Linked DNA regions of Schizosaccharomyces pombe. The gene in region 2 interacts genetically with the main gene of each other region. Each region holds a gene or a part of one and is shown on either strand. Other genes may lie near its edges.

Evidence for each region. Genes that interact genetically often act in the same process or in processes that back each other up.
Region 1: mutations in cho1 (region 2) and caf1 together harm fitness more than expected from each alone (negative genetic interaction), as found in Schizosaccharomyces pombe (one large-scale study listed by BioGRID).

What each region holds. Positions count from the first base shown.
Region 1 is NC_003421.2:1,964,930-1,968,733, forward strand, and holds caf1 (CCR4-Not complex CAF1 family ribonuclease subunit 7/8), read right to left. Parts: upstream 1,926-3,804; 5' UTR 1,918-1,925; coding exon 910-1,917; 3' UTR 501-909; downstream 1-500. Other genes in the region: oligosaccharyltransferase complex zeta subunit Ost5, read right to left, coding at 1,926-2,104, 2,255-2,317, 2,374-2,416. UniProt on the Schizosaccharomyces pombe protein: Acts as the catalytic component of the CCR4-NOT core complex, which in the nucleus seems to be a general transcription factor, and in the cytoplasm the major mRNA deadenylase involved in mRNA turnover.
Region 2 is NC_003423.3:1,055,123-1,061,108, reverse strand, and holds cho1 (putative phosphatidyl-N-methylethanolamine N-methyltransferase), read right to left. Parts: upstream 2,746-5,986; 5' UTR 2,688-2,745; coding exon 2,158-2,687; exon of another isoform or gene 2,141-2,157; intron 2,103-2,140; coding exon 2,042-2,102; 3' UTR 1,983-2,041; downstream 1-1,982. Other genes in the region: pre-rRNA processing protein Esf1, read left to right, coding at 1-1,587; ubiquinone biosynthesis protein Coq7, read left to right, coding at 3,834-4,484; DNA-directed RNA polymerase II complex subunit Rpb4, read right to left, coding at 4,883-5,054, 5,129-5,206, 5,252-5,357, 5,396-5,447. UniProt on the Schizosaccharomyces pombe protein: Catalyzes the second two steps of the methylation pathway of phosphatidylcholine biosynthesis, the SAM-dependent methylation of phosphatidylmonomethylethanolamine (PMME) to phosphatidyldimethylethanolamine (PDME) and of PDME to phosphatidylcholine (PC).

The DNA.
Region 1 (3,804 bases), on a different chromosome or scaffold from region 2:
ATTATAGCTAATTAAGCTAGATTTAAGCGAGGTTATAAAAAATTAGTTTCTGCATGTCGAACAAGAGAAACAAGATCTTAGAGTTTTTATAAAATAAATTTTAGGTAATTCTTTTATGCTTGATCAAATTAACTAGAAGAATTATTGAAAATTTTCAGTATCTCAAGAAATGGTTGGGACGACGAGGTAGGTGATATTTTGTTCATTGGCTTGGGAACCTTAGTGATAAAATAAAAGCTAAAAACTAAAATAATAGTTTTGAGATTGTAATATTTTAAATCACAGGATAAAGCACCTATCAAAAAAAAAAAAGCTTTACTAACTAAAGTTGATGCTTGCATGAAGATTTGTTACAACATGCACATAGAGCTGTTTTGGGGAAGCATTGGAGTTGACCGATGATAAACATCAGACTTGAAATCTACGCCGGTTTGCACCGTTGATGCTGGGTTGGATGCTAAGCTATTACGAATTACAAATACACGGATACATTATCAGTATATGAAGGAAATGGACTATATTATCTATTAATACAAAACCCGATGAAAGGCTTTTTTTGCTTCCAGATGCAAGAGAGTTCATTTCGCTGGGAATGAAGATGAATAATTTTAAAGTAAATCATCGCAACAAAATAGAAGGAAAATGCTCCTCACGAAAATGAGTGGATACAAAAACTTTTATGCTGAATTAGCGGGAAACTCCAACCAATCTCTTAAATAAAAAGAAAAACATATAAAAATCCAAAGTATAGATTTTATGGAAAAAATCTAGAAAAGCATATCGAGTAAACAAGTTCAAGCAAGGGTATACGTGAGAAAACGAGAATATATTAAGTTAAAATACAAGCATCCCGAAAGTACTTTCAAGGACTTCAATTTTTTAACGGTATGTTTTCAACTAGCTCGTGATCTAAACTACACGAGGAGGAAATCTGAATGTTGAATTGGCGAAATTAGGTGCCGAAGAAGTATTCGTTAAAGTGGTGGGAATCCCAGCATTAGATGGAGTAGGACTAGGATGGGCACCTGGAAGATCTCTGAATTGAATCTGTGGGGTAGATGAATTGTTGTGCCATAAAACGCTACCGGTTGAGCCTAAACCGTATAGCTGGTTGAGCATCCTGGAATCAATGGAACCATCAAAATACCTCGACCTTATTTCGAAAAATATTCTCGCGGTTAGCAAGGCATCACTTCCAGCCTGATGTTGGGGTCCTATACGATGTATTTGTAAATCGTCAGCAATGTCTTGAAGACCTTTAGAGTTGTTCAACACAGATTTCATTATGTATTTTATGTCGTAATTTTTCGGAAAATAAATACAAAGAATTTTATAAAACTCCTCATATTCAGCGGGTAAAGGGATTTGTGTCATGGCTTTTAATAAATAGGCAAAGTCATATCCACTATGAAACGTTATCCACGTGACCTCCTCTTGCAAAACTAATCCACTACCAATGAGGAGCTCTGCAAAATCTGCAGGCTCTATGCCAACCTCTTGATGTTTCTTAAAGTCAATGCCACTTTTTGTGAGTAACTCTATGCTTTCCGGAGCGTACATATCGTCTTGTAGATTGAATGTAAAATTAAATTGCCATGTACATGCCTCGACAGGGGCATTTCCTTCCTCGTCACTTAAAGCAAGCCCAATTTGAATGATTTTTAATGAATCTACGTTTGCCCGTAAAGTTTGATAGTGGTAGTCATCACTACTTTTAAAGACGCCAAGAGGTCTAGCAACTACTCCTGGAAATTCTGTATCCATAGAAACAACTGGATACCTTTCTATTAGACTCATTATAAGATTCATCTCTTGTTGCAAATTCGTGGACCAAACGTCCCGAATTGGTGATATTTGGGAGCTGATTCCATCCACTCCTAATGCAGGATAAGAAAAATTCGAATTCATCGCTGTCATTACGTTTTTTAAACAGCAAAGCTATAATGTAAACCAACCTGGAAAAGTAGGTTTTCGTTTGGTGTAAGTAGACTTGGATTGTTGAAGAATCCGCTGAACATAGATGCGTTAATTGTGAATACTGTAATATACCACAATTTCCTTATATGAATTCTTCTAATCACAAGAGAAAACATTGATGATGAAACTAAAAGTTAGTCATAGAAGGGTCAACTATTAAGTTAGGTATTAACTAACCTACAAGTGAAACTAAAGTTATTTTAATGGAACAATACTGTCATATGTTTGTTTGGAATATTTATTAAATCAAAGACTTTCTGTCGGCTTACCAAGCTACTTTGGATAACGATTTGAACTTGGCAAAAAAATATGCAATCTGACTTTTGTTCTTTATTATAAACTTCTCGTATCTAAAAAATATTTTTTTAAGTAAATTTATGCCATTAGTAAGTCGACAGAATAATTTTAAAGCTGCAACGATTAATTCGTTCAAGCTCATTTATTAAGGGAGAGTAGCAGCAAGAAAGCTAAAGTATGAGTCACTTTGTAGAGTGTTGAAATGTTATCTTTAGTAAGTACTAAGTCCAGACCTCAGTGAGAGATTTCAAAAATACTATTTTCTGTAATTGTATCTTAATGTCAGCAATCGAATTGATGAGCCTAAACTTAAGCAATCTCATCTAAATTATTAAGATTTGATCTCTTATTTGGCAACATTATAACTGAAAGATTTTACTTTTCCCTTCAAACAACTCAAAAGAATTGTTGAGTCATGGCTGTCTTTAGTTAGTGTTAGTATCGCAAGAGGAAGACATGCTCCTTCAGCAACGATCTATCTTCTTTTCAAAATATGTGTATTATTAAAAACATAATAAATTTGCAGTATTTGGAATTCAAAATTTATTCTTTACTTTATAAGCCCAGCTTTGAATTCTTCAATAAGCAACATATTCGTTTTTTGTATGTTAAATAAGGTTAATTTTAAACGAGGATACATGTACCACTAAATTTTAACAAAATCCTATTAAAAATTAAATTTGTTTTTTCCCTAACTTTTAAATTACTTGTTTGCAGGTATTTCAGTTTAAATAGACATCTTAAAGGAGTATTTGAGTTCTTTTTTCTGACTGTATTCAATTAGAATTGGATTTCCTTATGGCTTAATGCCGCTTGAAAGATATGGAAATATGACATTAACAAATTTATACAGAAGCCATTTGACGTTCAATTCCTTATTCTATTTTCCAGTAGTAGTATTGCATTGAATTACCAGCACTAGAATTTCCCTTAAAATTTGTTATATTTACTTTTCTCCTTAATATTGATGGATGTTCAAATGTATGATTTTTCACCTTCGCGCTACCTATTTATAAATTTTTTCTTCACACTTTGATATTTTATTGTCAGTTAGTATTAATATGAGCCTAATGCATCTTGGCCCGGATTTATTTCGACGCAGGGATTTTGAAGGCAATAAATATAATCATTAACACTTTAGGTAAATGAATCTAAATTCTCGTAAATTTTTTTTTTGTTTAAATCAAATTTAATTTTCGGCCACATTTTAATAACAACATTTAATTTAATTTAACAGGGAACTGTTAAAAAGCCTTGATTATTGAACCAATTCAATATTTCCTTCAAAAATTAACAAATATTATATTTCTAAAATTTAAGCTACTCGAAGACTTTGACAAATACTGATTTAAACCTTACTGTAAGCAGTTGTCAATGCAGCTCTTACATTAAAAAAATTATTTAATAAAAATTGCTACACAATTAGGGTTCTTTTCCGATTCCTGCATTTTTACGGATCTCTTCTTTCGTATGTTTATCCAAGTTTGGTTCGAGTAACCTTCCAAAGTTTATAGAGTTTTAAGAAAAAGC
Region 2 (5,986 bases):
ACTGAAGCTCAACCGGAGATATCCGAATTAGCTGGAATCGAGCCAGAAGAGAATATTCCTCGTGGTTCAGAAACTAACCGTCTTGCTGTAGTAAACATGGATTGGGATAATCTTCAAGCAGTTGATCTTTTTGTTGCTCTTTCTTCTTTTTGTCCTCCTGGTGGGAAGTTACTGAAAGTGTCGATTTATCCCAGTGAATTTGGAAAATCCAGAATGGCTGCGGAACATGTTCAGGGTCCTCCACGTGATATATTTACTCCAGCTGACAATCAACCTTCTAGCGCCGAATTGCATGAGGCTCAAAAATTTGGTTTTGATAACAATGAGTCTGATCAAGATGAGGAAGATGCTTTAATAGAGGAGGATTTAGGCAACGAGTTTGATATGGTAAAATTACGCCAGTATCAATTAGAAAGGCTTCGTTACTATTACGCAGTAGTGGAATGTGATAGTGTAAGAACGGCAAAGGTTATATACGAAACTTGTGATGGCGCTGAGTATGAAACTAGCGCTAATATTTACGATTTAAGATTCATTCCAGATGATGTTACATTTGACGACGATGAATCTCGCGAAGTATGTACTAAAGCGCCCGAAAAATATGAGCCGAGAGATTTTGTCACCGATGCATTGCAACATTCAAAAGTTAAACTTTCGTGGGATGCTGAGGATCCACACAGAAAGGATTTAATTAAAAAGGCTTTTACTTCTCAGGATATTGAAGATTTAGACTTTAGCGCTTACATTGCCTCAAGTGAATCTGAAGATGAGGATGTAGATGTTATTCGTTCTCGTTACCAAAAGTTATTAAGTGGTGATGCTGATGACTTCCAAGCGAATAGTAACCCTTTTGAGGATGATGACAAACTTGAAGGCGCCAATGGTGAGATGGAGGTTACTTTTACTTCAGGTTTTGATGTTGATAACAATGCGAACTCTTCGGAAAAAGATGAAACCACTATTGAAAAATACAAGCGTAAGGCCGCTGAAAGAAAACAAAGACGGAAAGAATTGAGACAGCTTAAGAAAACAAAAGACGATGAAGGTGAAGGATCCGACGTTGATCTTGGTTTTGATGATCCATTCTTTAAGGACAAGGATGCTAGTCGTAACAATAAGAAAAACAAAAAGGGCAAGCATACTCAAATTGAAGATCCTACGGCCGCGTCTAAAGAAGAACTGGAAAACCTTGTTCGTGAAGATGAAAACGATTCTGAGCAGCTCGATCATTTTGACATGAAGAGTATACTGAAGGCTGAAAAGTTTAAGAAGAATCGCAAGCTTAAGAAAAAAGCCTCCAATTTGGAAGGCTTGCAGGAAGGATTCGAAGCTGATGTCAGTGACCCACGTTTTGCTGCTCTATATACTAACCATAATTTTGCACTTGATCCAACAAATCCTCATTTCAAACGTACTAAAACGGTGGAAAAAATTATGGACGAAAGTCGTAAAAGACGCTCAAATCAATTGGAACAAACACAAGACGGTAAGCCTGAGCTTAAAATCAAAAAGCGTAAAGCTGAAAAAGGAGATCAACGTCAAGAACTTGATCGCATTGTCAAATCTATTAAACGTTCTGGAAAATAAATTAGAAATTGTACTCTGTTTTTCCTCTTGAACGATTGGATTTATAGAGTTTGATTTTGTACATATAAATTGGTCAAAACGGGGTTTTTTTGGTTTGCTAATATATTTGTTTTGAATTTTATTTGATTTTAGAATGAAAGCACGTTAATTTACATGGTGTAAAATATTAGATTATTTTTTACATAAGTATGAATATAAAAATATCGGATCATGGTGTTGAGACCGCGATCAACACACTTAAATAATTTGAAAAAAAAAGCGTTAAACTATGCATAATTATACAGACGTTGAAGTCGTCAAAGTACATAGGGCAAAATCGGTTAAAGGAGGAGCGTTAGTAAAGGTAAGGACTAGTCATGAACAGAACATTCCATTTAAAATTGTTCCTTTTTTTTTTTTTTTTATAAAAAACTCTAATGAAGCTTTAACTTATGGCCACTTCAAATCAGCTGCTTCACTCGGATTTTTTAGCTTGCTTGCTATCACGAGCAGCGTAAATTTTAGCAGTAAAAGGTCTATTAATGGTTAGAGTAAAGAAAAATTTAAAAATTTAAACAGTTGGCAACTTACTCTTCAAATTTCAAAGCTATTCTATAAACGAAAAAGACTTCCAAAGTTAAAAGGAGGCCAGCAACTTTTCCATAACGCAGAGCTGTAGAAAGGAAACAAAGAGTAGAACCGTTGTACATTGGGTTATCGTTGACATTAAATGGGAAACCAGAAACACGCTCTGGAAGCAGAAATCCAAAGTAATCACCAAGATATGTACCAACAAGTCCTAGCTTATACATACTCGATAAGACAAGGACGCTGCCAAAACAAAAAATGAGCTTAGCTATACCCTGCACAAGAGGGTTCATGAAGATACCTAGCGTAGGTTGTTGTTTTAAAGCATTCTGATAAATTAAGTCACGAACTATTCCGGCAACAAAAATACAAGCTGCTAGCATGTAACAGGCCTTCTTAGAGTCGCCATTTGCCAATTTGGTCAAAGTCTTATGATTGTATTCTGAACGTGCAGCAATATTCCATAGCAGAGGGTTCAAAGCAATAGATACAGCACAAATTAAAAAAGAATTATTGATTTCAAAAATGGCCATGTTTAGCGAAAAATATGCTTTTATAAAAGGTTGATATAAATACGAAGTTGGTTTGGGGTAAAGAATCAAGCTCATTCAAACGACGTCTTTGATACAACGGAATTTAACGATATTGCTATTTTATAAAATAATGAGAGAAGGCCTGAAAAACATAAGTACTCATTTGTGTTTAAAAGATTAAATTAGAAAAAGGAAAGAAATGATTGATTTCGCATATTTCAAATTGTAAATTTTCGATGGGGGAGGTGGGTGTGGTTCTGGAGCTTTTTTTCTATAACAAAGAAAATTAATCCATAATGCCAAATTACATTCTTGAATTATTAAGCAAGTCAAAAATTAATTGTGATGGGGTGTCTTTGAGTCTCTACTTGTACTTGTTATATCAGTAATACTGGAAATTTGTATATCTTCGGATTCCCCTTCGGTTGAACTAGTAATTAATTTAAAGTTTTTTAAGCGAAAATACAATGTTGAGTTGAATTGGTTGGAAAAAAGATAGGAAATTGGAGTTTACTTTAAAACTGCAGCTTAAATATGTTTTTTTTTTTTATTGTTTATAAGAAGCATTTTATTATTGAACTTCTATATCCGTCAAGATTGACGAACACTATGAAACTGTAGCAAAGCCATTTAGCTAAGGAAAAAAATGATACATTGCTTCTTTCCTGAAATTACGCCACTGTTTATTGAATCTCTTAGTTTAAAAACTAAGTATGTATTTTTCATTTTGACTTAAAAATAAAGTTGAAGCAACTGGTATTCACTGCGTTAATCAAGCAAAAGAATAAACGACAAGTTTATCGAATATTTTATTCCATAAAAATAGAGTGAACATCAAATCACTTAAATTTAATTCCTTCTTAACTTAACCATCTAGCTTGAATTTTGCAGATTTGTTCAGAGATTGATATGAAATACACCTCAAGCCTAACGTGTTACTCAACTAAGCATTTCCGCCTAAAACGTTCGGTTTGGTAGAGAACTTCACATTCTAATCCTCCACACCCAATCAACATCATAGTCTCTTTCGTCGAATATTTCAATCTATTAGTGAATTAGAAATATTGGTTTATTGTTGATTAGTAAAATTTCGTTTTGAAAATTGATAACTCTGTGTAATTTCAGGCCTTTTTACCATTACAAAAGATGTTGTCACGTAGACAGTTAATACCCATTGCTACCAAGTCGGTTTCTCCTTTTCTTCGCTCCTCTATAACATGCCGTAGAATTTCGATGGGCCGTAAAGAACTGAGCGAGAAAGACTCAAATATTTTGGACAGCGTCATTCGTGTCGATCAAGCAGGTGAATTAGGCGCTAATCAAATTTACAAAGGTCAGCACTTTATCCTTCAATTTACCGATCCCAAAGTCGCACCTACCATTCAGCATATGTGGGATCAAGAAAAGTACCATCTCGCAACATTTGATAATTATGTCTTAAAGAATAGAGTCCGTCCTACCTTTTTACGTCCTTTCTGGGACATCGCTGGATTTGCGTTGGGAGCAGGAACTGCTTTGCTTGGAACCAAAGCAGCTATGGCTTGTACAGAGGCAGTAGAAACGGTAATTGGCGGACACTATAACGACCAACTACGTGAAACGGCTCATTTGGAAAATAAAGCTCCAGAATTTAAAGAGATTCGTAGCCATTTGGCAGAGTTTCGAGATGACGAGCTAGAGCATTTGAACACTGCAGTCGAAGGTTGGAACGCAAAGGAAGCTCCAGCTCATGCATTGCTTACCAATGCCATTCAAATGGGTTGCAAAGCGGCTATCTGGATGTGTAAACGATTTTAAATACTTCAAGTTTTCCTGCCTCAAACTCAACTTGCTAGTCCTTTATGAAGCAAAGAACGCCCATTTGATTCAAAATGTTTAGTTTTTCTTGCTTCACAATAGTATGATCCTTGTTAAAACTTACTTAATCTAATTAATACATTTTATCTAAATTCCTTTTCGCGTGTATTCAGTGTTTGTATTATATTTTTTTAATAGACTAATTAAGAAGTGTATGGTGCATAAAAAAACATAGATTTTGTTAAAAAAAGTTTTATGACCCCTCATAAATTATGGAATAATAATGACAAAAACGTCGTATTATAAATCCTGATATAGCTAATAGTTTATAAGACCGGAAACCTTTTAAGTTTTCATAATTGACAATAAACAGACTTGCCTGAGATCTATTTATTGCATTAATCTTGAAATTTACGCAAAGTGGAAAGCTCATCCAAGATGCCTTGAAGATTTTGGTCATCAATTTTATTCGCGAGACTAGGAATCAAGGTCCTAGCCTCTTCAGCGTCTTCGCAGCAGAGTGTTCCCAATTGTGCACGTTCAAATTTATGGAATCGATTACCAAGAATTCTATGAGGTTAGTCAAATATTTGCATACGGCTATTTTCCTCTAAAATTCTATTCAATTCTTTGAAATTATGTACCTTTCACATGCATAAGTGGCTTCAGCCGTTTTAAACCGAGCAAAAACATTGAAGTAAGCTACTGTTTTTTTCATCACACTATCCTAGTTAATTAAAAAAGAATATGCATACAATAAGACATACTCAGTCATTGGAATCTCACCATTAGTTTCGCGTGCTCGTTGTGCCAGAACTGTTTCAATAAGGATTTTGGCCTCTGAAACCGTCAACATATCCTCATTCTCAAACTCTTTTTATATTAGCAACAGAATAAAATTCAAATCCAACCTGGACCAAGTTTTAATTGTGCAGCATCTTCCTCAAAAATAGCCCTCGGCATTATGAATAGATGCTCGCAAACACTCTCTTCAGAATGTTGTTTTTTCTTTTTATCTAATTAAATCAATAACTATTATACAAATGTATTCCCAAAAATAATGTCAGAATGCTCTTTATGCACAACAACCAGCTTTCTTGCTGTTGCTTCGTGTCTAAAAATCGCGTCCTTGATTGCAGCATTTCTATAGCCGCTGCTAATAATAACGATATTTTATATTTATCTTAAAACTAAATAACGATTGTTCTTAATAACATTATGAATTTACCGAGATGTACGGAGATGTCTAAGAAAAATTTATTTTATTGATATTTCTTAATCATTTGTCTAGCTTAACGACGCCAGGGTTTTGGAGTATTTTCTCGTTAAAACCAAAGAGCTTTCTATTAAAATTATTCTCAAGTCTTTGCTTTAGAGACTTCGTATAGCTAAACGTTAATGCGCCTTAAAAACCTCAGATATGAGGATTCTTCTACTAATTTCGTTATATTCATTTGAAAATACGTTACATTCTTTTAAAGGGGTTATTTCTATTTTTACTG